Drosophila melanogaster: one gene and its partners. The gene in region 2 interacts genetically with the main gene of each other region. Each region holds a gene or a part of one and is shown on either strand. Other genes may lie near its edges. The genes, in order: mus301, mei-W68 and pds5.

The links.
Region 1: of mei-W68 (region 2) and mus301, changing one suppresses a phenotype caused by changing the other (phenotypic suppression), as found in Drosophila melanogaster (one study listed by BioGRID).
Region 3: of mei-W68 (region 2) and pds5, changing one suppresses a phenotype caused by changing the other (phenotypic suppression), as found in Drosophila melanogaster (one study listed by BioGRID).

The regions. Positions count from the first base shown.
Region 1 is NT_037436.4:8,133,772-8,144,536, reverse strand, and holds mus301 (mutagen-sensitive 301), read right to left. Parts: upstream 6,730-10,765; 5' UTR 6,701-6,729; coding exon 5,905-6,700; intron 5,846-5,904; coding exon 5,393-5,845; intron 5,336-5,392; coding exon 5,130-5,335; intron 5,055-5,129; coding exon 4,452-5,054; intron 3,933-4,451; coding exon 3,054-3,932; intron 2,982-3,053; coding exon 2,847-2,981; intron 2,786-2,846; coding exon 2,702-2,785; 3' UTR 2,523-2,701; downstream 1-2,522. Other genes in the region: CG13676 (uncharacterized protein), read left to right, coding at 1-1,906; Setx (senataxin), read left to right, coding at 7,324-7,506, 7,568-8,645, 8,720-10,490, 10,551-10,687, 10,745-10,765. UniProt on the Drosophila melanogaster protein: Single-stranded 3'-5' DNA helicase that plays a key role in homology-driven double-strand break (DSB) repair.
Region 2 is NT_033778.4:19,452,594-19,462,521, reverse strand, and holds mei-W68 (meiotic W68), read right to left. Parts: upstream 6,353-9,928; 5' UTR 5,547-6,352; intron 4,551-5,546; 5' UTR 4,471-4,550; coding exon 4,104-4,470; intron 4,046-4,103; coding exon 3,417-4,045; 3' UTR 2,999-3,416; downstream 1-2,998. Other genes in the region: CG7744 (uncharacterized protein), read right to left, coding at 7,352-8,269, 8,321-8,975, 9,308-9,676, 9,733-9,833. UniProt on the Drosophila melanogaster protein: Required for meiotic recombination. Together with mei-P22, mediates DNA cleavage that forms the double-strand breaks (DSB) that initiate meiotic recombination.
Region 3 is NT_033778.4:12,026,247-12,038,148, reverse strand, and holds pds5 (precocious dissociation of sisters 5), read right to left. Parts: upstream 10,165-11,902; 5' UTR 9,917-10,164; intron 9,855-9,916; exon of another isoform or gene 9,597-9,854; 5' UTR 9,575-9,596; coding exon 9,494-9,574; intron 9,433-9,493; coding exon 9,047-9,432; intron 8,984-9,046; coding exon 8,776-8,983; intron 8,718-8,775; coding exon 8,549-8,717; intron 8,486-8,548; coding exon 7,744-8,485; intron 7,680-7,743; coding exon 7,416-7,679; intron 7,359-7,415; coding exon 7,265-7,358; intron 7,203-7,264; coding exon 6,357-7,202; intron 6,292-6,356; coding exon 6,155-6,291; intron 6,094-6,154; coding exon 6,014-6,093; intron 5,953-6,013; coding exon 5,687-5,952; intron 5,615-5,686; coding exon 5,324-5,614; intron 5,261-5,323; coding exon 5,168-5,260; 3' UTR 4,424-5,167; downstream 1-4,423. Other genes in the region: 128up (upstream of RpIII128), read right to left, coding at 1-378, 432-552, 685-726; CG43191 (uncharacterized protein), read left to right, coding at 984-996, 1,062-1,472, 1,582-1,710, 1,766-1,920; CG8321 (uncharacterized protein), read right to left, coding at 2,271-2,373, 2,439-2,661, 3,717-4,014; Mppe (metallophosphoesterase), read left to right, coding at 10,901-10,926, 10,992-11,107, 11,164-11,426, 11,550-11,902.

The DNA of each region.
Region 1 (10,765 bases), on a different chromosome or scaffold from region 2:
GTACGAGGATGATTACTACGAGGAGCGACCCGTGAGACGGCCAAAGCCAAGACCACGTCAAAGGAAGCCCCAAGTGGAGCCGGAGTACGATGATGAGTACGATGACAAGCGAACGGAGGCCAAGAAACCCATCCGGCGCAATAGGAATCGTTACCGCGATGAGGAGGAGGCACTGGATGAGGACTACGACGAGCGACCAAGTAAAAGACCAAGAGGAAAACCCACTGCAGGAACGGCGGGTCGAAAGATATCTCCCCGGAAACCAGGACGAGTGGAGGAACGACGCAGCTTCAACGAAGATCGTCCATTGGGCAGGAGGCGAAGTGAAAAGGAGAGGACAACTCCATCATCCGCACTGGACGACCTAGATGAATATGAAAAGCCCTATAACAGTGCAGATCAGGTGGAGGCCGCCGAGGAGCAAACGCCTCAAAAAGTGAAGACTACTCCAAAGCCATTGACAGAATTTATCACTCCGAAGGCGGCAGCCGCTTCCGTTTATGCTCGTCCTCGAGCTCCGCCAAGGATTGCGCGACCTGTTCCCATCAATGAGAAGAAGAAATTCTCCTATCCAGTGCAAAAGATCACGGCCACCACACAGGCACCATCCAACAGTGCCCAAGAGGAGGAGGACTATCCTGAAGAGCAGGTGGAGGAGGACTACGAACAGCCTCCAGCTAGAAACACTCCTCGCAGACGTACGCCAGCATCTCGGGCTGAGCAGAAGCCCACCAGAACCACTTTGCGCAAACCAGTAACAGACAAGAAGCCCGTCGATGAGGAGTACGATGAGCCGGCGGAGCCGGAACCTCTGAGAAAGCGCAAGCGTCCCTTGGCCCCCAGGTCCCGTGTCCCAGCAGCAGATGTGGACTTCGAGGATGAGGAGTACGAGGAGAGTCCAGCGCCCGTTTCCACAGCAGCTCCCTTGAGAAACCAGAGACTGAGAGCCAAGACAACTACCCGGAAGCCCACAGCGCCACCACGTCCACGCAAACCAATCGTAGAGGACGAAGAGGAGCTGGAGCATCCAGTGGAAGCCGTCGAGGACGAAGCACCTGCACCCAGATCGCGGGCAAATTCATTGAGCGGGCGAAACGCTGGCGCTGGTTTTTCCCAACGTCCTTCCTCGGTACGTGTGGTCAAGAGACCTTTCCTACCATCCAGGGGCGGCAGTCCATATCTGCCCCGTGGCCTTCAGCCGGTGGGTGTGGCCTTAAAACCATTGCCAACCACCGATAGCACGCCCATCGACATGGGTTCCACCATTTCGGGAGTGCGTCTGCTCGAGCATGGGGCTCCTCTGTTGAGGGGTAATCCTGATAGCGGTGAAGATGACGAGGAGGACGCTCCTCCATCGCCCAGTCCACCCAGAACGACACTCCCGCCTCGCAGTGCTCTGCCCGCCACGCCTAAGCGTGTGGAACCGCAGCGACCAAAACTGAATCTCGACGAGCTCTACGAGAACGACTACGATGTGACATTGAACGATGCGCTCGATCCCACGCTGAAACCGCTCTCGCCCCAGCATCCGCATCCTCATTCGCATCAGCTTCCATACCAGCAGCAGCAGCAGCAATCGCAGCGGCAATATGCTAGCGCCTATAATCCATTTGCCTATCAGCCAGCGTATCAATCACCAACATCCGCTTCAGCATCCGCCCCTGCATCCGCATCGCAAGCAGCGAGCTATCATAGTGATTCCTATTTCTCGTCGACAGATATACGCAGGCGGGCTATTGTCCCGGCGCAAACCGCGCGTCCACATCGACTCGAATACGCTGCTGCCGGAGGAGCAGCCGGCGGACCTTCCAGCGGAGGAGCCGTCTCCGGGTCGGGAGTGAGCCGGAGCCACCAGCCGCTGGGCGGACGGATTGCCCAGCATTTCTACGATGACTTTGCCTACTGAAAAGTTCGCTTGTAATAAGGTGCGTTTTTAGTTTGATAACATAGCATAGCATATGTAGTAAAATGGTGTCATATCTTTGGTTTTCAGTTTCTTCAGCTGTAAATAAGTTTCCCCAACACAAGGAGAGTTCCAATTTGGTGCACGGCTCCAACTTCTTAAACAAATCTGTGTCTACTTTAGTCGTTTAGCCGCACAAAACGTACTCGTAATTCGAAATGGCTCGGGACATATGAAGCAATAGCCGCCGAAAAACAACATAACCGATGATAACCTACAGCAATCATTTATCTGAGAATTTTTTGGGTACATTCTGCAGAAAGCTCTTTTCAAAATTTACCTTCGATCGATTATGCTATTTTTGCTGTATGAGCTATATATGTCCAGAACCCCCCTACTTATATATACGTTGTATAATACTCAAATGTCGTGATAGTAGCAGCTTGCGAATTTGTCTGCTAGCTCGTATCTAGTAGTTTATAAAAATAACTCCCTCCTACTTGATTATGTCCAATTAATCGAGAAGCATAACATAAAATATCCAGCAGAACAGAACAATAAGGAAAATATGCATTGATGTCCTTGATTTACATATAGAATGAAAAATACCTAATGTGTTAATTTAAAACTGCAATTTGCATACAAATTGTCTATAATATTTAAGCTTCGTCGGAGATCGTGTTCGTTGTAGAGAACCCAGATGCAAGACTTAAATCGGAGTGCATAACAATCAAAACAAAAACTGAAATAAATTTAAAACCCACTTAAGCTGCTGTTTTTACTTGTGTTTACGTCCTGCTAATTTTTATCAGACGTTTTTAAACAGTCCTTCAGGTTCTCCGTTTCCTCTTCCAGGTGGTCGAGCTTTTTCATTAAAATTATCTAGAAGGAATCCAATATAAGCTTATTAAATGGGTTACAGAATCAAAAGAACAACGTGTACCTTTGCTGCCGAGACAATTTCCGTGGCCACTCTAAGCGGCATGTGCTCTAAGGATTGGACTAAGTGCGACGGCCTCACTCTGGCTATATCCCCAATGGTTTGAAAACCCGCAGCATACAACTGCCTGGCACGATTCTAGAAGAGTAATGCAATTTGGAATAGTCATATCTACTTTTCTGTTAAGGACAAGATTATTTTGCCACTCACGATCTTAACCGCTGGCAGTTCCATTAGCGGCTCCAGCTCAAATGTGCCGCATCGATCCATTTTGTGCAAGATCCGCTCAAACAATGGTTTATAGCACCAAAACTCTTCCAGCTCCTCGCACAGGCGAACAATGGCACTCGCCGCTGCTGTGGATTGACTGATCAGATGCTGCAGAGTTCCCCGCTCCACGTTGTACTTGCTGGCCACGGAGGGAATCGGTAGGAGGTTAAGTATATCCGCCAGAATAAGCACCTTGTAGAGGCGATTCAGCTGCAGGGACAATGGACCTTGCACCGACTGCGTCTTAAATAGCCTAGCTGCATGGGCCTCTGTAAATCCAAGTTGTTTGAACATTGCCTGCGAGTCCAGTGGAAGCGAGGTGTAAACTCCAAACAGAATGCTGGCATCTGCCGGAAACAACTCGTCTCCTCTTTCGTTCGAGTTAAAGCACACGACAAGGTACAGTAGGTGCAAGTAGTTGGTCAGAATGAGCTGCTGCTGGGCCTGCTTGAGCTCCTTGTGAATGGCATTTGCACGCTTGTAGTCGATGCCCGCCTTGAAGGCAGCTCTTCCAATATTGGTCAGCTTAAATGGCGTCGACTGTCCAATGAGCAAACGTCGATCGCCAGCGGGCCTATTTGCCTGACTAACATCCTGCGATGTTATAATATCCGAAGAATTGATCTTAGATTTCGCCTGCGGTTCGGCAAGCTGCAGCACTTTATTTTTGAACATCTCTCGGAGAATACGGAGCACGATCTCGTTCACGGCCACCTCCAGGGATTTGGCCTGCACAGACAACAGTGTGCTGTTTACCAGCCGATTCAAGTCTCTACGACATTCTGCTAAATTCAAGCCAACCACGCTGAGAATAAGCGACTAGGGAAAAAAATTATATTATGTTTATGCATATCGTAATTTGGATTAATCAAATAAAAGCATAAAAAGAGATAGAACTGCCTTCTGTCCCATTACTGCCAATTTGAAAAAAAAATTACAAATCTATATAGAAGGGATCAGCAAAATTAAAAGCACATTTTGCAATAATGTAGGATGTGGCCAAATTTGGTAGTTAGGACGCGGTCACTTTGTTTAGAAAAATGTAAAGGTAACACTTTTCATTTCCCTTCTTCAGTCTTTAAACAGATTTCGCCTAGGAAGTCAGTGACAGCAAGAAACTACATAAAAATCTGCGATTTTAAAAAAATAATTGCAATTTAAGGAAATATTCATCGGTGTAAGTAAAAAAATAGTAAATAAAATAAGAGAAACTCCGGAAATTTTTACGTTTAAACAAACGATAAAATGCAAAATGAGTGTTTTAACAAAATTAATATTTTCTTTCTCATCAAGATCTGCGTAAAAAATTCACCTAATTTTCGCTAATTAAAAACTTACTTGCAGTCCAACTGCCTCATTTTGATCCAAGGAACTTAAAGCCTTATCCATAGGCGAGAAAAGCATTTGTCCGACCAGCAGATTGTCTTTGCTCTGGGCTATCAGGATACTCTCGCCAGCTTCACCCAATCCGGCGCGACCTGCTCGTCCCACCATTTGCTTATACTTGCACAAAGTCAGAAATTCTTGACCCACATAAGGAGCACGTATGATTACCCGCTTGGCTGGTAGGTTGACCCCTGCAGCCAAAGTGGAGGTGCAACAAATGACTGTGACGACTCCAAATCTATACGCAGTCTCAATGTACTTCCTCTCATCGGTTGTCAAGCCCGAATGATGATAGGCAATCCCGTAGGGTAGGGTTTTCGCCAACACCGGGCTGAGTATGCCGCACATCTTGTCCAGGGCATCCATTAGATCCAACTTCTCGCTACGCCGATGCTCAAAAAATTTATGCTTTGGCACAATGCGACTGAGAAGTAGCGCCACGTTCTCACAGTTTTTGCGGCTAGGACAGAAAACCAAGCAGCAGTGTTCCGGAGCACATTCGCTTATCAAACCAGCCAGATGGTCGGGATCGGCGCGTTTGACGGCTTCACTGTACTGCAAATAAAAATTAGATCAAAATCTTTTACTTTCGGCAACATTTTCCAAACGTCTAATTCGAATATTCCTTACATTGTACTCTACACTGCGACTGGGGACGAATATCTCCTCCAGCGTTTGACCAGCCGAATTTATTTCCAACAAATCGGGGCCACATTTGATGTACTCCTTTAGCTCAACTGGGCGAAAGCCCCTGGTGTATACATCAGCATTCAAAAAAGAGGATATTTCGCTGAGATTTCCTATTGTGGCACTCATGCCAACAATTTGAATATTGGCTAGAAAACAAAAATTCCATTAATCTGTACAAAAAGTACCACAAAATATCCACTTACCATTTAGAAACATCACTTTGGTAAGGAAAGCCTCCAAGGTGGCCCCTCTACCCTTTTCGCCTATCAAATGCAGTTCATCCACCACCACCAGACCTATCTCATGAGGACGTTGTACGTCTATCAGGCTGTCCATTAGAACAGCTCCCTTTTCGATGGAGGCAATGAAGAGACTACGTCTTTTGCGACGCGGCTGAGGCGGACACTTGCCCTTGCCGGCCGTGTATTCCTCCACAATGAAATCCAGGTCGATTGCAAATGGAGACATGGCGCTCACCTTCTCCTGGACAATCGACACATATGGCAGGATGAACAGCACATTGCGTTCGCGGCAAAGTAATTCACGCAGCATAAGGATTTCGGCTACTAGAGTTTTTCCACCACTTGTGGGCAGAGCGTAGATCAGATTTTTGCGCTGCCTGATGGCAGGTAGATTTAGGCACTCGTCCTGCCATTCTGCGGAATTAATGGGATCGTAAACTAAGCTTATATTGGTTTTCAATTAGCAGTCATACCATAAAGACTATTAATGCCTTTGTGTTCCAGAATCATCTTTTTGACCTTATCCGGCAGGCCATAGAATTCGCCCTTGCTGGGAAACTTGTCTATATCTTGGTTATTCTTCTCGAAGTCCGCAAAAGCCTGAGTCTCCCAATTGACTGGATCTAGGAGGGATTGGTTCTTCAGCTCTTCGCAGGTCACATACTGAGTGCCCTGCACTAGGCCCTCAATCACAGATTTGGAAATGAAAGACATGGAATCGTCTTTAAGGGGGGCCAGTAGCTTCTCTGGTGTTTTGGGCTTCTTAAAGGTCATTGCGTCCAAGAAGAGTTGTGTGTTTTGAACCATGGGATCACTAAAATCATCGGCGCCATGGAAAATATCCTCCATTTCGGCAATGCTCAGATCGTTGAGGTTGATTTTCTTAAACAGCTTGTCGGCGTTTTCCTCGTCCGCCAGGTCGATTTGATGTTTATCAGTTGGTGCACTGGCTTCATCCGGTTTAGAGGCACTGTTGGGTGGAACACTCTGTGCACTTGGAAAGGATGTGTCCGCAAAGAGTCCCAGTCCATCATCCGACCCACTTTGCGTCATCTTGTTGGTACTTGTGGTTGCTTGCGTGCCAAAGAGCTCCTCCTTTCGTCCGTCCAGCAAATCCTCCAGATGCGCGTTGGAAAAGAAGCTGTCGTCGTCTTCGCCCTCCGGCCAAAAGAGGTTTTCGGTGCACTGACGCTTGGCATGGCTTTCGCTTGTTGATTCCTCGCTCAAATCCAAACTTCTTTTTTTGCACAAATTATGCTTATTTGCCATTTGGCGCGAAATAGTGTGAACTTCGCGTGAAAATGAAGGAAAACTCAGGCCAGGGCTGCAGCATGTAAGCCAAGTTTATAACCGGGATCGTGTCTCAACTTAAGTGTTGATAAAGTCGTATTCCCTAACGATCGTTCCTTTTATTTATAAATATAACATTTACGGTATACGATTTTCTTCTTTTCGTGTTTCCTATTAAATAGGCAAAATCTGGCAAAATTTTAAGAGCTACGCTAACAAAATAATTACAACCGGCTTAAATGTACTTTAACGTTGCACTCCCCTAATTCGTTTAACAGCACTGCCATTTACTGTTTACCGCTGACCAAAAAGTGCGTCTTGTTGCTAGTTTAAAAAACGTAATTAATACGGGTTTTGAATACCAGAACACCTTCGCGTTTTAAAAAGTAGATTGAAATACTTATGTTTCTTATTACGGGAATTTTGTATTTGCATAGAGAAATCCAACAATCAATGCAGTAATTCACTACCACTTGGCAGATTTGTTGTTATAGTAAGTGCATGAAGCGTCGCGCACATTCAATGTTCAATTTTCACTCAAAGTTAGCAGTTTTCACAATTTCCTTCAGTTGAGTACGAGTGTAACGTAACAGTTGGTCAGGATGAGCAGCGTGTGGTACCTGGAACATGTGACCACTGGCGCACGGCTCATCCTGCACAACGGCACTAATTTGATGGGTCGCCACTCGCGTTGCAGGATAATCTTGGGTGGACAGTACCAATTTGTGTCCCGGGAGCACGCCAATATCATCGTGAGCGAAAAGGGCGTTGAGGTTGAGTCTCTGGTAGGTTATTGCAGCTCACCTAAGATGTACATGCTTTTAATAGTTTATGCTTTTATCACAGAACCCCCTGAATGGGCTCTTCATCAACGGGGGCAAATTGGGCGACAAGATCAACCGTCTGGCAGTAGCTGAGGGCTCCACAATCAGCCTAGGAGTCACGGGAGTCAACCTAAATGAAATAACTGGCATACATGCTATATTCATCCTAAAGAAAAAGGAGCCGGTAGTCGAGGAAATCGTTCTGTCGTCCGACGATGACGATACAACACCACTGCCCGCCGTGCGATGCCCCACTGGCACTCAGCCCACCGAGTTCAATCTGAAACAGCAAATACCAAACTTTGGCGGCAAACAGGACCCCGGCCAGGAAGAGGAAGTACTACCTTCGAGTTCCAATTTGCATCTACCAAAACTAACAGAAGTTAAGCAGGAAATCGTAAAGCATACCTCCGAAGAGATACAAAACATTTTTGGTGAACCAAGTGACGCTATTCTGAATTCTGTATTGGAACTAAATCCATATCTGTACAACAAGCTAACTAACAAGACCGCGAACAATGAAATAACCCGCAAAAAAATACACGACGGCGACTGTATAGAACTGGACACGGATACGGATAGGAGGAGCATTTCGGAGGCGCAGAAAGCCGAAGACCCTTCGGCAGAGCGGGAAGTAGACGACGAGGAAGAATACGATGAGAGTTTCGCCATGTCTCAGGCAGTGATCAGGGAAATGAAGGCCGAAATGCACGTAAGTGATGGCGAAGAAGACTTCTTGCTGACCAATGGCATGGGAAACTTGCCTGAAGGTTCTCCATCGAACCAAGCTTACGACGACATCGTCTACGTCAGCGATTCCGATGACGATGAGCTGTACGATAAGGTGGCGGATTGGTCAAAGCTGCTAAGCCAAAAGGTGGTACCAGACGTCATAGAAATGTCGCAGACCTATCCGCTAGAGAATGAACACAAAGATTCAGACTCAGACTTAGATATTGGAGCAAAAAAACCGAAAAGGACACTGCGGATCTCATCCTCCAGTGACGAAGACTCTGCAGACGAAGTGATTGTCCATCAAACAAAACAAAAGGGAAGGCGCTCCAAATCGAAATCTCCAAACGACCATGTTGTGCGGCAGGGTAAGTATACAAATAAATTAGCTATTATTAATATGACTAGTAACAATATTTATATTGTTTTATCTTTGAAACAGCCGACAGCACGACTCCGGATCTTCCAGCTGTTCGTAAATTATCCGTCTCATCTATTGATTCTGTATATGAAAATAAACAGACAAAATTAAACTCTAAGCTTAAGTCGTGCTTAAAGAGCCCGACCAAGACATCAGTAGATAACATGGAAAATATGACGGAAACCAAAAGTTGCTCAAACCGTCAGCGCGAGCAAATAGTTGCATCCCGAAATGAACCAACTAATATCTGTCCGCAAAAGATTGAGACTAACAAAACCTCAACCCGTAAGCGATTCGTATCGACCACTTCTCGGGATGAGTTATCTACCACTTCAAAAGAAATCAAAGATGCTCCTAAAAATAATGTGGAACCTCCTAAAAAAATGTTGCGCAGCCGTTCAAAATCCTGTTATATAGATAGGCCTGTGGAATTGGATGAACACATAACCAAAAATGAAGTGCCCCTTAAGAAGAAATATGAAAGTGTTGATAATAGTAAGGAAGAACTGATAGTAACCCTGGAGGCTCCAGCAATGTTAACGACACCTACTAAATCTAAAACCCAATGTGTTAAAAAAAAAGCAACGCAGACTCGCGGCAGACGAAAGACAATACACAGCCGTGATGAAATAAGATCCTTGACAGCTGAGGCTGAGGAAAATAAAAAGATTTCACCAGCAAAACAGACCAACGAAGAAATCCCTATTCCAACTAAAAGTCCTCTTAAAAGGAATGCGCGGCTGCTCAACCGATCAAAATCGTGCTATATGGATCGTCTGGTGATCTCGGAAACCGAAGATCCTGCCAAGAAGGTGATTAAGGATATATCTCCAACTAAAAGCGACACTACAGACAACGTTCTAAACTTTGTTGATGTGAGACAGACACGCGGCCCCTCTGTGATTGAGGCTCCATCCTTGCCCAAAAATCGAGGTAAGCTTCGAGGGGTCTCGGCTGAGGTGAAAGTTAAAGATAAGGTGCTAGATCGCCAGCGTTTTATTGACTATCAAGCCGAAATGAACGCTAAATGGAAGCAGAAACCCAAAGACAAGAAAAAAGAAGACGAAAAGCTAAAAGAGTGCCGCCGCGAAGCCCTCAAGAAGCTGTCTGAAAAACCAAAGGAAAATAGTCATCGTTCAACAACCAATAAGAGAAAGAATCCTACAAGTGTTCCCACCGTTCAAAACACCAATCGTGGCGGATTTTTAACGAAAGGAGTGGATGGCCCAGCCCCAAAACTGGCAAAGACGGATAACGCTAAGCCACCACCAAAGAAACCAGTTCCCAAACAACCACCCGCTATCGAAACGTTCTCACAGCAGCTCCAAGCAGCTGATAAAGCTGTTCTGCATCCGCAGCCACAGTGCTCGCGTCCAGTAGAACGGAAAGAAGCGGAGCTGGCGAGGAATCAGCGCACTTGTAACAAAGTTACCTTTGCTGAAATGGAGCTTTACCATCAAAAAGCCGAAGACTCAAAGAAGCTACAAAAGAAACTGCGTAAGGTGCATTTCAACGATGATGTGAAAGTACACTGTATCGAAAGGGTTAAGGGAGCCAGTTCTAAGGTTCAGGGCCGCAAGGAGTGCATAAAGCTCCGCCTCAGCTCCTACCGCGAACGCCGCGAATGGATTCGAAGGGAAAATAAACCAGTGAACGACATACGCCAGCACTCTCGGAGTATCCTAAAGTGGGCTAACCAATGGCTAAAGCATGGCAGCGTAGATGCGGTTGCTGAACAAGATGTCTTAATGCCCATTCCACCTGAATTTGATAGCTTTAAGAACTATAGAGAGTGAGTTGTTGATAGTCTTCTAGTTTCTACACTATTTCAACCTTAAATTCATTTTCGCAGGATATTTGTGCCCTTGATGAAACTGGAGCTGCTTTCCACCATCGAAAGAGACTACAAAATTAACAATAAAAACACTTTTTCGGTCAGCTTAATAAACGTTGAAACGCAGGATATGTGCTACCGTTTGGTTACCAGAGGTAAGCATATTCAATACTTTTTACTACCAATTACTAATTTTCGGACGTTTTTTGCAGTCAATAGCAAACCATTCGGAA
Region 2 (9,928 bases):
AAGTGGAACTTAATACTAAAACAAGCTTTCGACCATCGCTGCTGTATGCTGGCTACTTTTGCCATTGTGGCTGCCGCCACTGTGGATTGTAATTCTGTGGATGTGGCGAGCGAGCGAGCGAGCTTGGCATTTTTGCCAAAGTTCTGCGTCTGGGAAGGTCGTTGTTGTTGTTGTTGCTGTAGCTACTCCAAGACAACAACGACACACCCTATGAAAATCGTATGCAATCTGCAGGTAAGTGCAGGTGATTCATACACCCACACATGCACACTTACTCAAAAAAACTGGTAGAAACCACACATATTTCTCGAAAAACATTGAAAAACTTTAAAGAGAAGGAGAGAGAACTCGGAAGAGCTTTGGCAAAGGGATCCCCAGTTTGGGAACCTGTCTGCGAGCCGAGCTTAAAGCCCACATAAACATCAACTCAGCATAATTTAAAAAGACTTCCACTGGAAATTCCAAGATAGAGAAGTAAAGATTCCAGTATGTAGCTTCTTAAGGAATCGAAATCTTTAAAGATTTGAAAAGAATCTGTCAAAAATGAATATTCCATGCGTAAAACAAATCATTTTTTAAGATAACCTTAAAAATGTAATTTTTGTAATATTTTTAGTGTTATAAAAACAATAAAATTGAAGTTAAAACAAGATAGAAACCCAACAACTTTTGTAAAACTTCGGATAAGTATATGATCATCTTGATCTTCATCACACTAAGAAGAAGGAATTAAAGAGGATATAACTAGCCAAAGAAAAGACGTTATAAGTTAGTCACTCACGATTCCACACCTAACGTCCACAAAGGCAACTAGTTAAGCTTATTTACCTACACCACGTAAACTATTCAAGTGTATGCATGTCGGATACAAACACACAAACTAAGGCAAAAAATTATTTAAAATCAAAACAGTTATATGATTGTGCGGAGAGGAGTACGAATCACACGGATTTGTTGTGGACAACAAAGATAAAGGCAGAGAAACAGAGAGGAGATAGAACGACCGACGTGATGTGATTATTGAGAATTGTTTAAATACTATAATTGCACTTCTGAATGGACGTCGTCAGCTGTATTGACTCAGACTTTTAGTTTTTCGAATGAAGCAAAGTCCACTCATTTAGTATGTACGTATATCATTTAAACTACCAATTATCAAGTACCCAAAATAAACGGTAACAGTACCACCCAAAGTTTTCGTAAAAAGGTAAATAAGGTGACAGTTATATTTTTATATGTCCAACTCATTAAATAGGTCCCAGATATAGAATATTCTTGGATACCAACCCATTTGTCGTGTTAAAGGAGTTCACTGAACTTGTCGATTTAAAACTGTAGCACGGTACACAACGATATAGATTTTATTTAACTGTGTTCACAGTGATGATGATACATATATGTAAGAAAAACAATGAGATGTATACGAGGTTTCGATTACTCATAATATGAGACATCAGTTATTCTAGATAAAATTCAGAAAACTAAACGTTACTGTATAAGCAGACAGATTTATAATTCTGATATATGATATGATTTTTAAAATACGTTTTTAAAATGCATTTATATATAAATTTCCCCCACCTGACAAAACACAGCGTTACTTTTCGTACGACACATTTGACACACACGAAGGCGAAGCTTAGATTCGAATCAGTTATATCCAGCAGTATGGTATTTCTTATTCAACAAGCTGATTGAAACTTTAAGAGTCTTCACTTCACCTTCGACAGGCTACCTTCCCTTGATACCCTCTATAAATGGACCACAAGAAAACTGATGACCCAAGCCACATTGCAGGAGCAAACAAGAGATGGGTTGATGAACAAGGCCCCCAAAAAAACGGACTAGGGGACGTGGGGACGGGTGATAGGTACGGACACTGACGAAACCCAAAGAAGGACTCACCTTGGCGGACGAGGTTCGTTGCTTGATCGCGGAGGGATGAGCCGAGTGGGTGCTAAGCACGTTCTTGTTGACGGTGGGCGCCACTCCACTGCCGGGGGTGTGGTGATGGTGGTGGTTAATCGCTGAGCTCGCCACCACCGCCGAATTGTTGCTGGACAAGCGGGCACCGTCGGTGGTCATGTTGTTGGCCACATGGTGGTGGTGTTGGTGGCTGTGCTGGTGCGAGTGATTGGTGTTGGCCGCTGACGCCGAAACGGTCGCTGGACCCTGGGAAACAGATCCCACTCCACCTGTCGCTGCCGCCCCCGAGGCCGGCGTGGGCGTGGCCGCAGTGCTATTGCTGGTGGCCGAATTCGAGGACGTTACAATGGGCATCATTGTGTTAGTGTTGGCGACTGGCGTTGTCGTTGGTGGCAGTGACACAATGTTTGCATTGGCCGAATCATGCTGCTGCTGCTGCTGTTGCTGCTGCTGATCCTTGACCGAATGCGAGGATGTGCTGATCGAGTTGGTGGCGTAGGTGGCGGTTGTGCTGGAGACGGCGGCCAGTGGTGGCACCGCGTTTGTTGCGCTCGATACTGGCGCCGCCGGTGCTGCTACATTGGATGCTGTGCCATTGGACACGCTATCCGCTGGCAGGGCCTCAGGAACTGACTGCAGTGTGGTGCGCATTGCTGTCGACATATTTTTAAACAGTCCAATAGGGATTCTTAGAGATTCTGCACGTGAGATTCGAGTATTTTCGGGAGTCTTTCAGGTTTCGGTGCTTAAAAGTAGTCAAATGCCCAATGGGTTTCTATCATCCGTGGTACTCCTTCACATCTGCAAGAAATAAATGCACGCAATTAGTATGGATCTAAACAAAGCAGACTACTTGTATCTTTCGGCACCTATAATATGACTGGCCATTCACTTGCCATTATCAAAAACGTAGCCAATTACCGGCTCCGATTACCGACCTCAAGCCATAACACTTTAGAGGCACAATAAAAAAAATAATCTCCTTTGTCTGCTTGAGTTTACTGGCTTCGTCCACACAAAGTAATGCAGAAAATCAAGTTGACCACTCAATACGAAACACTAGAAGCAGATTACTCAGACATTACGAGTGTAAATTACTATTATCCGTTATCCAAATATTAAAATTATGTTTTCTAAAGGCAAGGATCTTAAGGTACTTTAATATTAATTAGTCGTAATATTATATTGACGTTATTAAAGCTGCATTGAAATTAAACATTACATTTTATAACATAAGCAACAAAATCGGAATCCCAATGAATGGGGAATTTAATTATTAAATTACTATCTTAATTAATTCAAATATTAATGGAAAGCTGATTACGCGAACTAACTTTTACAGTACTATTTTTAGGAGTCTTATGGTATCTTTATAGAGATACGTTTTTTACAAACTAATTACTATATTACTATACCTACAACATATTTTAAACTAACTAATAATATTTCAAGAGTAATAATATTTGGCTTATGGGGTTTACCACTGAACTCTACAAAAACAAGTTCCGATTGATTTTATTTGGTATATAGTCGTCGGTCAGGAAGTCGATGACACTCTCGATTTCGGCCTTCAGCTGAACGTCCTGCAGCATGCGCAGTTCCTGCCGCACTCCCGGCTCCAAATCGTGGCGGGCGAGGAGGTCATTGATTTTCTTGTTGTCGCCGGCAACCAGGGCAACCGCTCCAGTGCCGAGTGCGGGAATCTCCGAGGGGTGTAGACCAATCCAACGCAGCGCAGGTGTGGTTAGTCCTTGGCTGGAAAAACTCATGGACTTCGAGCCATGGCGATAGACTAGCATTATCTCGACGCCAAATGGATCGGCGTCAACGAGAATGTAGGCCGCCAGTTGGTTCTCCTCGGTGAGCCGATGGACAATCCTCCGGGTACAGCAATCGGGGTATCCTTTTCCAGTTATAAGGATGAAGCGTCGTTCAAAAGTACCAAATACATTTCTGGATAAGAGACTCTCAAAAACCGACTCCTTTTCAACGATTAGCACAAATTCCGCCAGCGTTTCGATTCGATCTATCTTCTCGGGATCCGTGGGCAATGTCAGAGGTCCACCATACAAGCTGCTGTCCAGAACGTCTCCGTTGGTCATCAGCAGCCTTAAGTCGCCTGCAAGAGTAACCGGATGAGCAGGGAGCCTTTGATCAGGATTTCGAGATAAACTCACCTGCCACCAGGCCCTTGGAGGCGGCCAGTATGCCCAAGCTTAGGGGGGATGTCCTCAGCATACGACAGACATCTAGCCTGGCTTCGGCAATCCTGGACTGCGACCGGACTAGCAGAGGATTGTCATAGTATAGTCCACGGACGGTGAAACTTCCTCCGCGGACTTGCAATCGGTGCACCCGGGAGAGCATGTAAATCAGCACGCAAAAGCTATGGCGACTTCCGCGATTATTATAGCTGACTCGTCGATATTCCGAGATCACGTTTCCGGATGAATTTCGGGGAACACTAAGAGTGGCATTGCCATGAACCAAGTTGCTCAGCAACTCGAGGGCAATTCTTTCTATATTCTCCGAAAATTCATCCATTGTTCTAGCAATTTACTTATATTAGGAACGGATTCTTAACAACAAATATGTACGTCTTCTTGATTTCGTACTCTTGCAATCTACAAAATGAGGTTTTTTAATATCCAAATTAAGAGAAATTAATAATAAATATAATTTTACTTGTGAATAACAGATTTAAACTTAATTAAGCGGCATATATTTTAACAAGAACTTGGTTACTAACGCTTAAATTTTAAACAATTACATTTTTGAATTCCTCCAACTTTATGTATCCTTGCTCCCAATTTCCATTAGTTCTAAATTCGCATGAATTCTTCTGTTTATGTTCAATGATTTGAAACATTCTCTAGAATACAAAGTGTAAGCACTTTTTTGGTCTAATTTAATTGCATGGGTGGTGCCACGCCCCCGGGATTTTCTTGTTGGTTCTTTGAATGCCTTTGTCACAAGCGGAAACCCCGCAGGAAAATGAGTGAAAACTGTGGGCTAAAACGTTGAAACACGCCCACCGACCTACGCACAGTAATATTTCATAAATACGTAAGCAATTCGTGGACTTACATACTATACGAAAATCAAGTGGTCTTTGCACTTACTTATATCTGATTTTGTAAAAGTTTATCGCGTAAATCGTTGCGTGGAAACATTTCGAGGGGGGTTATAAATAATTTCCGAAAGGAGCTTGCTGGCTAAAAATATACCATCGAAATGAAAATTCCCTTTCGGTGAAAACAACTGTTTTTTAAAAATTTAAGCACGCACACTAGTTGCAAATGAAGAGAGCGCGAGGGAGAGTGCCATAAGTTTATGTGAATTTCTTTATTCGGTCTTTCATTTTTTCTTCTTATTTTATTATTCTTTTTTCCTTCTTTTTCGTATGTGCAGAAAAGTGTACTCGTTATTACAAAGCACACATACACCGAGTGTGGGCGGGCGGGGGGTTTTCGCTCTCTTTTGGGGAAGAGAAAGAGAGAGACTGACGGAAAAGAGAGAGCGCCAACGAATGGGCTAGGAAAACTGACGAACGGAACGAAACGGAATGGCAGCCCAAGTATTGATTTGCTGGTTATGGTGCTGCCACTTCTTGTACTTACCAATGAAATACAATTTCCGATTGGCCCAAGAAAAGCTAAAGCTGAAAAGCTATTAGCTCTCTCGCTCAGAGAGGAGTCGCTAGCTGATGGTCGCTGCTGTTGTTGTTGTTGTTGCCATCGATGTAACGCATATTATTATTTAATTTCTTTCGATTTTCCCAGTTCCTTTTCCGATTCCGTTTACCCGAAAGTGGTTAGGTTTGGAAAGGCTCTGCTTTTTACCGACTTTTACCGAACGAAAACGACGACACACACAACGAAATGCAAATGCAATACATAGCTTTCTCACTCGCTCACTAGCTACCTCTCGACCGCTCTCACTCGCACAGCAGCAGTAGCAGCAGCTCTTTGGTTTTCAATCAGATTTTTCTTTCTTATATTTTCTTATCGCGATGGTTTTTTCTTTCGCTTTTTTTTTAAGAAGAACGGTCACCGATTTTTCACAAGGATTACGAACGCACCCCCACTGCTCTCCCCAGTCACTGAAAAGCCACAATAATAACAACAACAACGACAGTCTTGTTGGCAACAAATGGAAATATTCGCTATATGCTCTGCGCTGCTCTGCCCTTCGCAAAACTAATGTGTATCCGCGATGGGTAATGGGTAACTTGATATTGATACGATTACTAATATTATTGATAGCCGATTAGCCGACATAAGCGGTGGCCGCAATTGGCAAACGACGATTGTCCCGCTCCCGCAACGCAGTTAAATATTACTATTTTCCTCCGTCCACATCCACTTTGGCAGCAACAAAAGTATGTACGTCTCGGTCTCTCAAAAAAATTCACATTACGATACGGCAGCCATATTGTAGCAGTGTTGCCAGCTGGACGGTATTCAAAAATACTAAACTTTTTCTCCTGTTACTACTTATATACTAAATATACAGCAAGCTGTCATCTAAAAACCGCGCCCACAGACTGATTGATTAATGTGTAATTTGAAATAACCAGCTAAATTTTACATTCGAGAATGGTTAGAGGCTACACAACCTTATATACATAATTGTTTATTAAGATAATTTAAATTCATAATATATTTGTTCAATATTAACAACAACATAAACAACATACTTTCAGGGGCAAATGTATGAATTTTTGAAGTGCCGTGCCGACTTTGGAAACGGCCACTTTGATTTCTACACCGCGCCGTTAACCAACTGGCAGCACTGCACTAAGAGAGCGTGTTCTGAAATCTAAGAGAACAATATAACATTTTTTAAAAGAGAAAAACAACCAAAAAGACAGGTCACTGTTATTATTGAATTTAACTTGATAATGAATATTTTCTTATAACTGCACTTAACTTAACAAAATAATAACCATTTTTTTGTTTTGCTTTTATTTCAAAAAATATGTATTTGTATAATAAACAATTTATCTAGTTTATGTGAGTCACAAAAGTTTAGTTAACGATAAAAACAAACTTTGAATGATTGTCTTCAATGAATAAATAACTTAGTTACCAAAGCTTTATTCTCCCTTTAAAATCAAGTAGTATTTATATTACCTTCTAATCTTACTCCCTGACTTTCAATTCCCTGAAAAGTTCTATATTGAAAACCACGAAACTTAGAGCTACACAGATTAAAGAATGTCTAGCTAAACACTACTTATTTAGTCGATTATAAGTAAAGGGAGGACTAACCTTTAGTAGAATAAAGAAGCTTAAAAACTGTAAGTCAAAAATAAATTATTTGATAATTAAGTTAAGTCAAATTTATATAATTTCCCAACTGGCGGTGATCTTTTCCAGAATTTTTTCTAAGTTTTTCTAGATATTTATGACCTCACATCACATTAGTGTATTGGCTGTGAGGATTTTGAGTTAATCTCAATCCACTTCCTAAGTAAATCCCCCGGCTGCATAGTTGGCTGTTGCTGCGGAAGAGCAGTCCTCGAGTATTGATATTCACTAGGCGTTATTGTGGGTGTAGGTGACGGCATTGGCGGAAAAACTGCGAAATTTCGCTGACTCTCACGGGCTTCGGACCAGCCGTAGTCCCTTACAGTTGCAGCACCTGTTCCGCATTGGGCTTCTGGACGTGGCTGCGACTCAAATCCAGAAGATTGTGACGAAGTGCGGGAAAGTTGATTCTGCTGTTTCTCTTCGTAATGTCTCATTAGATTGGCAGTGCATAGATCTTGGTTCACACTTTGATTGGCCGCCACCCAGGCGCTTACATCAGCTCCGCCGACGTTCCTGTTTATGGACGGCAAACGCGATGGCATCAAAAGATTTTGCGTGGATCTAGTGAAAGTATTGCCTTGGGCCAGGTTACTTTGTCCATGGCGATACCATTGGGACTCTAATGGTCTCATGGGTTTCTGTTGAAACATCATCGCCGGCTGGACACGCGGGGCAACCACTGTAGAGGCATCTCCATAGTTCGAGGACCAAGCCTGCTGTTCCATCCGTTGCTTCGACAGATGCAACGAGTCCAGGGACAGCAAAGAAGCAGGCGCCTGAATTGTTCGCTGGGAAATCGTTGGGGCGGGTGAGTGGCACACAGAGGCGGTTCGCATGGACAAATTGCTATTGCTGATATCACTGTATCCACTTAACTGCTGACTGAGCATGCTCAGCGTTTCATCATCGCATTCGTCCGCACAGAGGCGATGGAAGCTCTCACAGGCAGACTCGTCCCGATTCACTTGGCTCAACAGATTGGTCCGGTTGGTGGCCAACAAAACAAGGGTTACAAAACTTCCCACCAGCTGTTTAAAGAATTTGTTAAATAAGATTCAAATATAAGTAAATGCACTTACTATAAAGGATATTCCACTGATGTAAGGATCCAGGAATTCGATACCCATGGCATACCCACTCCATAACAATAGAGCAATGGTGAATCGCGTAAATTTCAATCCGTCGTATATCGTGTGCAGGAAACACAGGGCCAGCATGGCATATGGGTAGATCCCAATAAAACAGGATGCGAAGGTTGCTTGCTGCACTTGCTGTTGGCCTATGCCAAGCGAATACAGCAAGAGCTTGCCAAAGGTACGGCCATACAATAAAAGTTTGGCTATCATTTCGCGCTGTTCCAGGAAAATGCCTACGCTCGAAGTCACCACTCGAATTAAGGCCAGCACGTGGGAGTAGGCGTAGAACAAGGTTAGCCCAATGAATTTTCCAAGGTAAGTCGTAAACTGAATGGAAGTTGCATTCGGCAGCCGGCAGAGCAGGCACAAAATATTGACTACAGTCAGGATGGTCATCAGAATGCGGTATCGCTGCAGTTTAAACTGCTTTTGGGCAGCGGCCAATCGGTTGAAGTGCGGCTGCTTGAGCAACGATGCTCCCTTGATGATATAGTTCAAGAACTTGGAGCTCAACACCATTTTCTTCTTCTCGTGCAGGACTTTATTCACATGTCGTTCGCAGCTGCTACACAGGCGAAACTGCTTCTCCAGTCGTTCTCTACGGAAAACATAAATATTATTATTTAATAACTTGTGCCCCAGCTTTTATATTAAAGGTTCTCTATTAATAGATATAAATTATAAATCGGCTTACTCATAGAAACTATCTAATCTAGTTAACTTGTCTTTGATTTGCAAACCGATGTAGATACGGGTATTTAGATCATATTCAGACATACATTTGTATGTTTGTTGTATATCTTATTTGCTTGACTTAAACACGATTAACTCATTTATAAAACACATCAAGCTAAATTACTTTGCTTGATTCTTAGTAAACATAGATACCATAACATTGTATATATAATGCTTATTGTTATGACAGCTCACCTGTAAACCTTTAGTTCCTGATCGAATCGGGACTCGTTCTTGGGCTCGAATTGAGAGAGCTTCTCGACCTTCAGGCGCTGCGCCTCGTTGCACTGGTCGCACAGGCCGTTTTTGGGAGCAGGAGGTTGAGCAGTCAGGACATCGGAATAATATGAGTTGGCACAGATGCTGGAGCTGCCTTTGGAGCTGTTCTTTTGGGAGCCAAGGCTGCAGTCCCGCTGCGACGTAATATCCCGGTTGTAGTCGCCGTCCTTGGTGAATCCATTGTATTGCTCGCATGACGGGCAGGTCCAACTGTTGCGATCCTGGTACGGAACTCGTACATTGCCATTGCAGAACCAGCAGTTGACACGGGCGTCGTAGCGGGATCTGTAGACATTGCAGGTTAGTTAGTCTGGACTATTATAACTCAATGCATCACTTACCGTATGCTAATATAAACCTTGAACAGAAACGTGCCGGCCACAAAGAGAATAGCACAAACAGGTATGGCCGTCGCCGCCAGCCGAATTAGTAGGGTTAGCATCGCTTTAGTATTTCGGTAATCTGTCACGCTTATCTATGCAGTCAAGCTGGTGCCTCTGTGGGTCACGGAGTCACTTAGCTATCCAAATGCCAGCT
Region 3 (11,902 bases), 7.4 Mb from region 2:
AGTAGATATTTGGTGGTTTCTTGTTAAGCCGGATGCCGAAGCCCTCCAATTCATGCTCGAGGAGTTTCTTGTGGCCAAGCGGTTTCAGGCAATCCAGCACCATGAAAATGAGGTTACAGGTGCGAGCGACAGCAATCACCTGACGACCTCGACCCTTGCCATCCTTAGCGCCCTCAATGATACCGGGCAAGTCCAGCAGCTGGATCTTAGCGCCCTTGTACTTAATGCATCCCGGCACAGTGGTCAACGTTGTGAATTCGTATGCCGCCACCTCGGAGTAAACGCCAGCCAAGTTGGAGAGCAGTGTGGATTTACCCACAGAAGGAAACCCTACGAATCCCACCCGGGCATCTCCAGTCTTGGCCACCTCGAAGCCAGCTGGAAATACATAATGTTTAGTGATTGCCTGAATTATATATCCAAGAGCCTACCTTCGCCGGTTCCGCCGCCGCCTCCTTTGGGGGAAATCAGTTCGCGTCGCAGCTTAGCCAGCTTCGCCTTCAGTAGACCCAAATGGGCCGAGGTGGCCTTGTTCTTTTGGGTTCGGGCCATCTAGGATTCAGTTGAGAAGGTGGTCCAACAACCCGGTGATTTAGATAGAATCCAGGGGGGAATCCGCGGGGTAAATGGATGCGAGACAGGTTAGTTTCTGTAAGATCGGCAGGTACTCCAAGTTCCACTCACCTCCGACTCGATGGCCGAGATTTTCTCCAATATTGTGCTCATGGCTGGCTGAGAGTTAAACGCGGTTCACAGAAAACCCCAGTTATCAACAAATATGCATGTAAAAATAAAATATATAAAACTCTCGCGTGGACAGTTGGAGGTGCAATCGATATGTATTCGATACAATCGATTTGTTCAGTAATGTGGTCGATTCCCAACGTTAGCCAACACTTAACGAATCGTAAAAGTATTCTTAGACAAAATTAAAATGGTCAGGCTGATTGGAATATAGCCGTTACAATTTGATGGCTGCAAGAATGTTTGCTAAAGGTTAAGTTCCGCAATTAAATACTGAGAACTATTTATAAATTAACAAAAAATTAACATTGTTTCAGTTAAACCGCGCACCCCTCTGGGTAACAACCAAGCTCAATTTAAGAGCCAACTGACCAACAACGTCTCGCAATTGAATCGCAGTTTTCCAACGGCCGCTGAACTTTTGCGCAAAAATAGCACCCAATTGCGGCAAACAAAACTAACTGTCTGTCGTAAGGATAATAAGCTAATATACGATGGATTCGTGGAGGAAGCTGTGAAAGTTCAGCCCAAAAAGGAGAACGTTCCATCACCGATTATTCTGGAAAAATCCAGTTGCGAAATGTCAGCCAAAAAGGAATCAGCGGAGTTGCCAAGCTCCCCGATGTTGAAGCCAGGACGAAACTTAATTAGTTTAATTGGTCGCGTGGATTTCTGCCTTAAAACTCAAAAAATGTATCCGGAAATTAATGCTATTTGGAATGTTTACGGTGGGTCTGAACTGAAATACATTCAAAATCAAATTACTATATACATTTTAAACAGAATGATTAATATCGCTAAATTTGGCAAGTTAAATCATTAATTATCGTTTTTCAGGAAAATTGCTACGGATCATTGTGGGAAAACGTGGAGAACACACCTTGCTCGTGCGAAACAAAGAATCGGGGCCCGTCCTTCAGGGAATTTACTACGATTTCGAAGGCGTTATGAGTACTTGGAGCCCAGGTAAAATGCAGGAAACTGATAACCATTACATAACCAAAGTTTTATTCATTAAAAGGCTGCTTTGTCCATCTCGTGGGCCAGTTTATTGGCGAAAATCGCTTGAAAACATTTAAGATTGACCAGGTAAGCGACATTGACTGGCAACAGCAATTTCTGCGCATTGAAAATGTTACCTCGTATATTTTATTGCAAAACACTATGCAAAAGTAATTTATTTTTTAAGGATACAGTTTTCTTGAGATTTTTAGGCCAGGCGATAGTGTACTTTTCACAAGGTATAAATATGCTAGCCTAAGCTTTTCGATCCTGGCCTCCAATCAACAGTGAAATGTTTCATTTTGTACTTTTGTAGTTTACAAATCATGAATAATTTATAGAGTTAGTAACTTATAATTAATATACCTAGGAAATAAGTTAGCTTCAAAATGCCCCCTGACGATTCTCTCCAGGAGCATTGCACAGTTTCAAGGACTACAACAAATACAAATTCCGAAGTGGGCGTATAAAGTCTAATACTGGTGAACTTATTGAACTAATTGGAAGGAAATGGGTATTCAGTTCTACGAGTACAAGTCGAAGTACATGAAGACCGTGACCAGAAATCCGCAGAACAGGGCGCACAAGTAGCCCAAGTGCATCGAGGCAGTCTTCTCCTCGCGGAAACTGCAAATTGAAGTAAAGACTCCATGTTATAATGAATAATTAAAGGTGATTTCCCCAGAGCTTACCGTTTCTTGGAACGCGGCGTAAAGGGCGAGGGGGGATTTACGCCGGGCACCGCGCTGTCCAAGTACACGATTCCGTACGCGAAAGCTGCCACTAGAAGGCCACACAGCAGGGGACTCAGCCTGGAGCCCAGCTGGTGCCTGGTGGCCCACACCAAGGTCTCGTTCCACCTACTCTGCACCTGGTGGCTCAGCACCTGGATGGAATCGCCCGTGATGTATGGCACTGCAAAGAGAACGCCCAAAGCTCGTTAGTATCTCATTTTGAGTGTCGTTCTATTGATTTCACTGTTATCAGTCCTAGCGTGATAAACACGTCAAAATGTTGGGTTTATAACTAGGGTGGTTCAAATTTATTAGTCAGATATGTACGCTATGAGGGAATCAAAGCAATTTGGCTAAATGGAAAGAATTAGTGGGCAAAGAAATTTGCAAAAATGTACAGAAACCCCATTCGTTACACCATAAATAGCAAGGTTGCGCTTTTTATAGATTTGGACCGATGGGAAAGATTGGAAATAAATATTCGTTTGTATTGGTTTAATTATTTCTTTTCTCGACAATGTATAAAATTTGTTTTCTGCTTATATCAAATTTATATGTTTGAATTATTTAACAAATAGTTGATTAAACATGTGTTTTTTCTTTGAGCTTTGTTAAACTTTATTAAATTTTTTGTCGCACTTTTTTTGGAGCCACCCTAATGCAAAACCTGCAGCAAATAAAGATTGCTATATCGTCAGAAATGTAAAATTCGTTATTTTCCTGGGCCTTCTAGCGGTACCTTCTAATGTTTATATTACATACATTAGAATATACATGTATGTGTCGCGTGACGAAAGCCCAGTGCTAAATACCGTTAAGCTAAGCGTAGATGAATAACTAATAGCCGCTGGGCAAACAATTAACTAACTAATGGCATTTTGCCTCAAAGATGAAGCAACTAATCACTCTTTGACGATTTTTCTAAGGTCTTCAGTACGTTTGTATGCAAATGAGACGGCTAATGCGCATCAAACAATTTGCCTTCCTTATATAGACGTTTTTTCGCTATTCGGCGGCTTATGCAGGGGGAACAAACACCACCGCTATGAGATCACACGAACTTCAACTATTTATAAACGCGAGAATATAAACAAAGTGCGAGTAAAGACGACGCAACCGACAATTGCAACCTTGAATTCCCACCCCCGCCACACCGGGGATATACAGAAATAAACAAATGGAAATCCAATAAACCCACAATATATTTACGTTTAGCCCCCAGCTTGGCACACTTACTCGTTAAGATGACGCTTTTGTAGCCAATGATAAGAGTCCCAAAGAGAAGGGCCACCTTTTTGATCAGCGGATCGAGGGCGGTCACCACTCCCACTCGCCCCTTTTCCGAGGGTTTAGCAACACCTACGTAGTGCTCAAGTTTCGGATGCGAGGTCTTCGGCGTGGAGGTGTAGATCCGTCCGTTCGGTTGCCCGTTTTTTTTACTTCTGACTGCCGTTGAGAAAATCCCATTGGTTTTGTTTTTCTCCTGCTGGCGATGCGTGACGTCACAGCCGACTTCGGCTGGTTCCACCTGCATTTCGTGGTTTTGCCGGCGTAAGCTTTGTTTGGAATTAGTTTTCGTTGTTCGAACTGCGCGGCAAAACAACAATCAGTGTCTATTTAACTCGACAATTGTTTGGTTTATTTCACAATAGCACAAAAACAACAAGAAAAACGTCACACCCCCGAAAAAAAACAACGCAGAAAATGCAATTGGAACTAGTGATGGGAGAGTTGATGTTGCACCGTGAACTATCGACGGCCTCTTATCGATAGTTCATTTGTTATCAATATTCAAATTAGTTTTAGCCCTCCTAAGAGCGACTTTGAAATTGAAAAGAAAAAAGTTAGAAACAAAAATTATATTTTAGCCATTTTTTAAACTTACTTTATATTAAAAAAGTACAACATTTTAATAATTTAAACTAAAAGCCCATTTTCGATATCCATTTTAACATTTAAATAATAATCATACGTTTATTTGTAATTTAAAAACCATAATAATTGTTTAATGTACATGTTTTATAGTTTAATGTGTGTATTCATTTTATTTTTATCTTTGTAGTTTTCTTTCCAATTCTTACGCTTTTAGGTTTTCTTTTTGAATGCATTTTGAATGCATACTTGTTGAATTTAACGAGACAATTGTATGTATTATGATGATGTTACATTAACTAAAAATTAACTGCGATCATAGAAAAGTTAATTTTAATTACTTAATAAGGCTCTGTTTACGTTTTCATTACTTTACTTCGTACTTTAACTTATGCGCGATATACTTTCCTTTTTTTATTCGATATACAATAGTCTAAGAATAATGGTAAAATCAATCAATAAATCAAACACTATAAAAGAACAGGATAAAACATTTTAAATGATAAATAATTACTTTTACAGAGTTGCGGTTAACAGATTTTTCGACACTTTTTTCGTTTTTCTTTTTTTGATGTTTGTGTTTTTGGTGTATCTCACAAAATTGATATAGTACATACTGAATGCGAAACTGAACAATCCGAATTCTGGGTGCTTAGTTGTGAGTTGCATGGTGTGGATAAAGGTAGTGTCGGTTTAACAACTATCGTGGTCTTTCCTACGTCTTAAATATTTAGTTAACTTAGGCGCCTAGACTAAACATAACTAAACTAACAAGTATGCGCTCTCTCCACCTCCAATCTGCGCCATCCCAGCCCCTATGATTTGGCTGAAGCGGCTCCTGCGCGCGTTCGTTTGGCCATGGGCTCCGTAGTGTCAGCCGCTCGTATGTTGTCGAACAGATTGTTCTCCTGAAATCAAATTTCACACACTAGTTAGATTCATTCTCAGTATTTTCCAAGGACCTCACTCACCTGCGGATTTTCATCATCCATGATTGACTGTTCCGCCGGTCTCTTTGGAGCCACTGCTGCTCGCGACGTTGTCATTGCTGTTGCGGCAGCTTTGCTCGTGGATTTGGCTCCCAGCGTATACACGTCCAGCGGTATATAGACGTCATTGTTTTGGAAATTCGCAACGGCAGGCTCTTTATAATACATTTCTGGCAAAGCCAGCGGCATGGAAAAGGTGCTCGTGTTGCCATCAAATGGACTGAACTTGGAGTCGATAATGTACATGGCAAGATCGCAGAGCGCCCACATTTTCTGATAACCGAAAAATATATGTATAAATATAATTTAGAAGGGAAAGCCTGGGAAAATGATTGAGTGACATACATAGTTGTCGCGCTTGTCCGACCCCAGACTGAACTCGCGATGCTTTATCAGCTGCAGCAGCTGCTTGTAGAAGCTATGGACAAACGTTTCTCGTTTGGCCATCAGCGGCTCCAGAATGAAACGCAGGCACTTCTCCATCTTGCGCAGCTGTACGTAGTCCTCGTGATTCGTGAAGCGTGGATCGTGGACCAGCACGGGAATAGCGAAAGCCAGCATGTAGTCAGGTAGTATGTGTAATGATTGTGACTCCGTTGAGCTGTCGGGAGCTGGAATAATTTGATTTAATGGTTAAAATACACAATATGATTCCAAAAGTAAAACACCTACATGTCATAGCCACAGTCTTGAGATATTCCCGCCGTTTGTTTACATCCGTTTCTGCATAGTGACGCACAAGGTCTTGCAATCTGTTGAAAATATTTATCAATACTTCTCCGAACGGATCGGATGGTTTCTTGAACTACTCACTTCCTCTCAGTCTCTAGACCAGCCAGCACATACAAGCCCATGAAGTCCAGCGGCAAACAGTTCCTGGGCAAACTTCTGCTTAATCCTTTGTGCAGCTTGCGAGCAAAGATTTCCCGAACTTCTGGCACCGGATCAGCCTACGGGAACACCGAGATAGACATTGAGACTAAGTTCTAAGCACAAGATGAATGTCTCTACTCACCATCAGCTGGGAAAGCTGCAAATACTGCTCAGCGCTGTACTGATCACCTACGCCCTTTTGTTCGCACACTTTGAGCATGGCGCAGGCTGCCCCGAGGCGCAGCCAAGATTTCTCGGCACCGCAAAGACGGTTCTGGCCGAGCAAATCGCCTCGTTGGTTAACAAACGCCGCCAGCATTCGGAATGTTTTCTGGGCAGCGTGCTCATCGGTACGCAATCCCAAAAGCCACCTGGCCATAGCCTTGAGCGCATCCAGCTTACATAGAGTGTCCGGCGGTAGTTTCTCTTGGGCACACCAATCACTGTCCTCTGGCAGTTCGTAGTCTCGCTGCGCAGGAACTTCTTGGATAAGCAGCTCTTTGACAATTCGTCGCGCAATCATATTCTTAATGGGCGTTAGGAAGGCCTGTGGCATATTGTAGGCAATGTGACCCAAGGTCACAATCTTTGTGCGCTGATGCTCACAGTTTGGTGTCAGTTTTAGGCGAAGCGTCTCGATGATCTCGTTGAAAATAGGATGCACTGTTTGTGTAGTTGTGGACGCACTTCCAGCTCCACTTGTTGCTCCATCAGTGGAAGCCGACGACTGGCTGTTTACGAAAATACATCGCACCGCGTGCTTTGCTTGCTTGGGGGTTCCAATAAGTGCGAAGTCCTTGCACACCGGAGCCAGCTCGTCGAGAATAGCCGGTGTAGGGTCGTCAATGAGTGGCTGATAGCGCCCCAGATGAGTTAGTGTCTTTAGCACCAGTGGTGCAACATAATCCTGCTCGTAACTGAGCAGGGAAATTAAATGACGCAGCGAAGTATCGGTGAAGAAATGAGCCGAAAAGACGTATGAAAGCATCTGCAAGTATAAAGCAATCAAATGGATTTCTGTATCATAACTTAAATTATCTCTATACTCACGGCCAACAACTTGAGTCCGCGCTCGCCCGCTTCCTGAGCCGAAATTCCGATCTCTTCACACATGGACCCTTTCTCGATGCATTGTTCAATTAGGCTGAGCAAAAAGATTACCGGATTAAGTCTGGCAAAAGGGCACTTAAAAGCAATTTACCTAATAAGTACGCCAATAGACTCCTTGTCCACCATCACTGATGCCACGCGCTCAATCAGCATCTTAACTGTGTTGTAATACAGATTCGATTGGACGTGGGCGCCAAGCTTTTTCAGGAGAACTCCCATCGTGTCAGCACACTCCCGACAGCTTACGTCGCGTTTAAGGACAATGTTAATGCATCGTAGGAGCTGAGCATCTTTTCGCAGGTTGTTGCTAAACTGGGTTAGGTACTCTGCCGCTTTTAGGGGATCTGGAAGCAGTCTGAAGAAAAAAAAACACATCACTGGTTACAAACTATCAAAAGAAAACTTATTATAGAACCCACTTGGCAATGTTGGCCTGCTTGGCGCTGAGCTGACTAAGTACGCGCGGCGTGAACTCCTTAGAGTGGTGTAGCTTGATCCAATCACTGACCGTATTGCGTGTCTTCATTTGGTTCTTCTGCAGCTCGACGAAAGCCTTGGTGGCATTGGCATCGAGATCGCCTAGCAAATGATATAGCTTCTTCATGCGCTCTTCCGGAGCTAGTTTATAGGGAACCAGGCAGGTGATAAGTAGGCGTTCCACAAGCAGGCGGTCCTCCAAGCCCACTTTGTAGTATCCATGTAGTATCTTGTTCTTAATCCAGTCAACCCTGACCTTAAGGCCAGTGCTTAGATCGTTGGGTTCGCAAATTGCGCGCTTGTAGATGTAGGCCAGACCATTCATCGCATCCCTGCGAATTTTGTACTTCTTATCTAGCGTCCGCTCGCGCACAATTTCTAGTAGATCGGGCGCTTCGAGAACGAGGGTGAAGTCGCGCTTGGCAGTTTCCACAATAGCCATTACCACCTCGTGGCGGACCACTTCGTCAAGATCGTGATTTCGAAGCCGCAATTTCTCGGTGATATCGTGCTGAAGACTTGGGTGATTGAGCAGGAAGTGCATGGATGACTGAACACACTTGATGCGAACTGGTTCGGTGATGTCGCAGAAGCGCCCAAAGAAGATTTTCAACAGGTTGGGGTACTTTTTCGCTAGTTGCGAGTCCTTTTCGGAGAACATACGAGACAAGAGAGTGGTTGCCTCTGTAGTAACGAAAATATGTTTATTAATATGCAAATAGAGGTACATGCTGATAAATTACTCACTTAGCCTCTCAGCATCGTCCGTGGACAGCAGTTTGTTCTCCAGCTGAGGTAGCACTGAACACAACAAGCCTGCATTGATGCGGTTAAGCTCGTAAATGATATCATAGATTTTGTTTGTAATGGACAGTTTTGTGTTTGGCTTATCCATGACCAGAGCACGGTTAAAGAACTGTAGATCAGGGATTAGGTTGAATAACGTGGTGCACCAAAGATCAACGAAATATTACCATTTTGATGGTGGACTCGAGAGCATCGCCCGTTTTAGTGAGAAGTTGTTCTGTTAATTGGCAGGCAAACTTGTTGTTAGATTTGTACGGCTCTACGATGTTAATCAGAATGAGATCCAACAATTCCACCGACAGATTGTCGGCTTCTGTGATCAACGGGCTTAGCACATCTAGAAAAAAGTTAGTCACCTTGACACTGTGCTGGTCACTAGAAAATTATATAACATGTGATTATAAAGAGTTCGCAGGATAAAGGAAGAGCTCGACTTACTTGACAATCTTGAAGATGGTACTAAACAGGTCTTGGAAGATTTCTTGGCAGTCCTCCAGTTCGAAACACATATTAAAAGACTTGACAAAAGCAAGGTTCTCCAGCAGATAGAAGTAACGCTTGAAAGAGGGATCGCGCGGATCCTTCAGACCGTGCAGTTGCTTGATAAAAAACTTAAATATAGTTTTGATTTGATCTTGCTCTTTGTAGGGAGCCTCTGGCGCATAAACCCGCAGGACATCCGCCACGCAGCACGCGATTAAGAGCTGGACATCACGGGATGGATGTTGCATAAAGAAGTCGTCCAGCAGATGGAGGGCCAATGGTATGTATTGCTGGTAGAGATTGTCGTCCTGGTCCATGGTCTGCAGAACATTGGCGAGGGTCTGTAAAACAGAATCATTCTAAGTGAGAAGTTTTGCTAAGGGAACCAGGGGCAGGACTCACCTTGAGGCGCCTTATCAGCTCGTCTGTGCCCAAATCCTCGACCAGCGGCCGGCATCCGGTGGGGTACACTATGTCCGCCATCCTCACCGCCAATGGGAGCTACCTGCAAGCCAGGATTTCAAGGATTCAGTGGCAGGTGCAACAATTCCGTGCGACAGCAACAACAACGAATGCGACCCTCAAAATAACATTGAAAAAGTGGAGGAGGGTGGCATCACGAACACACAAGCACGAAGCTCCACACAAGCACACACACACATGGGCAGCAGCACCACAAGCACACAGAGTGGCCAATATTGTTTGGTTATTTCTTTTTCGCAAACAACAAATAGAGAGCGCCCAAATTGTAGCGCCCTTGCCACTGCAATTTACCCAATGTTTTATATTAAACTGCGGCGCAGTTTTTGGAACTCGGAATCTTACTTTTCACAACGGGCAGGAAGCGGCACAATTTTTTTGCAATTTTGCGAACCCCTGCTTTCGATGACCGCTTAGCGCGCGTCTCCTTCGAATCACTGCACTATGGATGGGATTGATCCTGTCCAGCTATTTACACATGTTCGGTTACAAGAGTCTTTTGCGGTGCTTATGTTGTTAAAAATAAGCAAAAACCAAGGAGCATTTATGTGGAGTGGCACGCCATTAATCCACGCACGAAGCGTTGCCAGAGGTTTTTTGGAAGTGTGGCCAGACTCTTCGCAGATTAGTACATGATTGCATTTCAGCTGATTAGCATTGACGTGTTGTTGGTGCTAGCGAGGAGAGCGGAAGGGGTCGTGTCACGAAATCGGATATATAATCGGAATGAAATCGGGATATAAATAACTTATTAAACTGTATTTATAAATTTACTTAAGAACAACATTTGAGTATCATGTTTGTTTTGCTTTGAGCATTCAGTTAGTGCTAATCACGCGCTCACCTCTAATTTTGTTTGTTGTGCTTGGCAAACAGCTGTAGCGTTGCCACATAGCCGTCGCGGCGCAAGAAGTGCAAACATAGGATAAAGATAATTGCACAATTATTGGCACCTGGAGCCGGCAAACGCTGTAACGGAATTGCCCGCGTTCAAAAGCCAATGGCGCGCATTGGCGAAACATCGGAGGAATGTGGTAATGGACGCAACACAACGTTCCGGCCGTTCTAGATGTTTTGCTTTCTAATCCAATTAAGCGTGTGCGCCCTGAAAGCGATGATGCGGGCCGGTTGTGGTCAGATGTGCGCCGTCCGTTGCAGCAGCTCTACATTCCCGAAAATATGAGCATTCTTACGTAAATATTGCATGGGCAGTGCGTATTTAAATATAGATTGTACATATAGAGACGCAATGTAAGCCAGTTGCATTTGCCAGAGGACAACCGAAAGTATTAATCAAGCAATCCAAACCGATGCGGCATAGCCGGGATTATGGCTTCCTTGCGCGTCGTCAATAGGTGGGTCATAGTTGACGTTACTTTTGTTAACCGAAACTATTTAATCCTTCCATAATCCCCGAAAGAAACAGATTAGTGTGCCGCGGTTTTGTGGCTCTTACGTTGCTGCTGGTCTTCTTCAACGAGTTTATAGTTTACTACATGGCCCAGTCCAGTTGGCAGCCAATCGATTGCAAACTAGGTAAGCCGTAACACAGTTTTTGAGTCGCATCATAACAAGCTATTTTTCCCACATAGATAATTGCACGCGCCTGCTGCTTATTGCTGATCCCCAGATACTGGGAAACTCCTACGATCGATCTTCGCACAGTCCTTTAGCCAGGTACGATTCGGATAGATACCTGGCGAAGACTTTCGAGCGAGCTCTTGCCTTTACACAGCCTCACATCATAGTGTTCCTGGGCGATCTGTTGGACGAAGGCAACATTGCCACGGCTCAAGAGTACAAGCAGTACGTTCAGCGGTTCAGACGAATTTATCAGAATAAGAACTACAAAAAAGTAAGGAGTACTGCTTTTGCTTCACCTTAAATTGTTGTTGCACCTATAATTATTTCAATTTAAAGTTTTTCCAAAGCGATTATACAACTTTGCGAATGGGATTGACCCCTTAAAACCTAACAGTTCCGCATGATCTCTGCCTTTTTTCAGCGCGTCCATGTGCCGGGTGACAATGATATTGGCGGCGAGAATGGCGACTACATATCCAACTCGAACCAAAGACGCTTTGAGAACGAATTCATGAGTGAAGACCTCTTTGACTATGACAATCGATTACGCTTCTTCAAGATAAACCGCATGCTATTGGACTTTAGCAACCCGGATAGGGATAACAATGCGGATCGTCTAAGAATTGGCGTATCCCATGCCCCGCTGCTCATTGGCGGAGGACCCCTGTTGAGAGCCATCATCAGCGACTTGGATCCACATATCATTTTCTCAGGACACTGGCATGAATCCAGAATATTTATTTACCC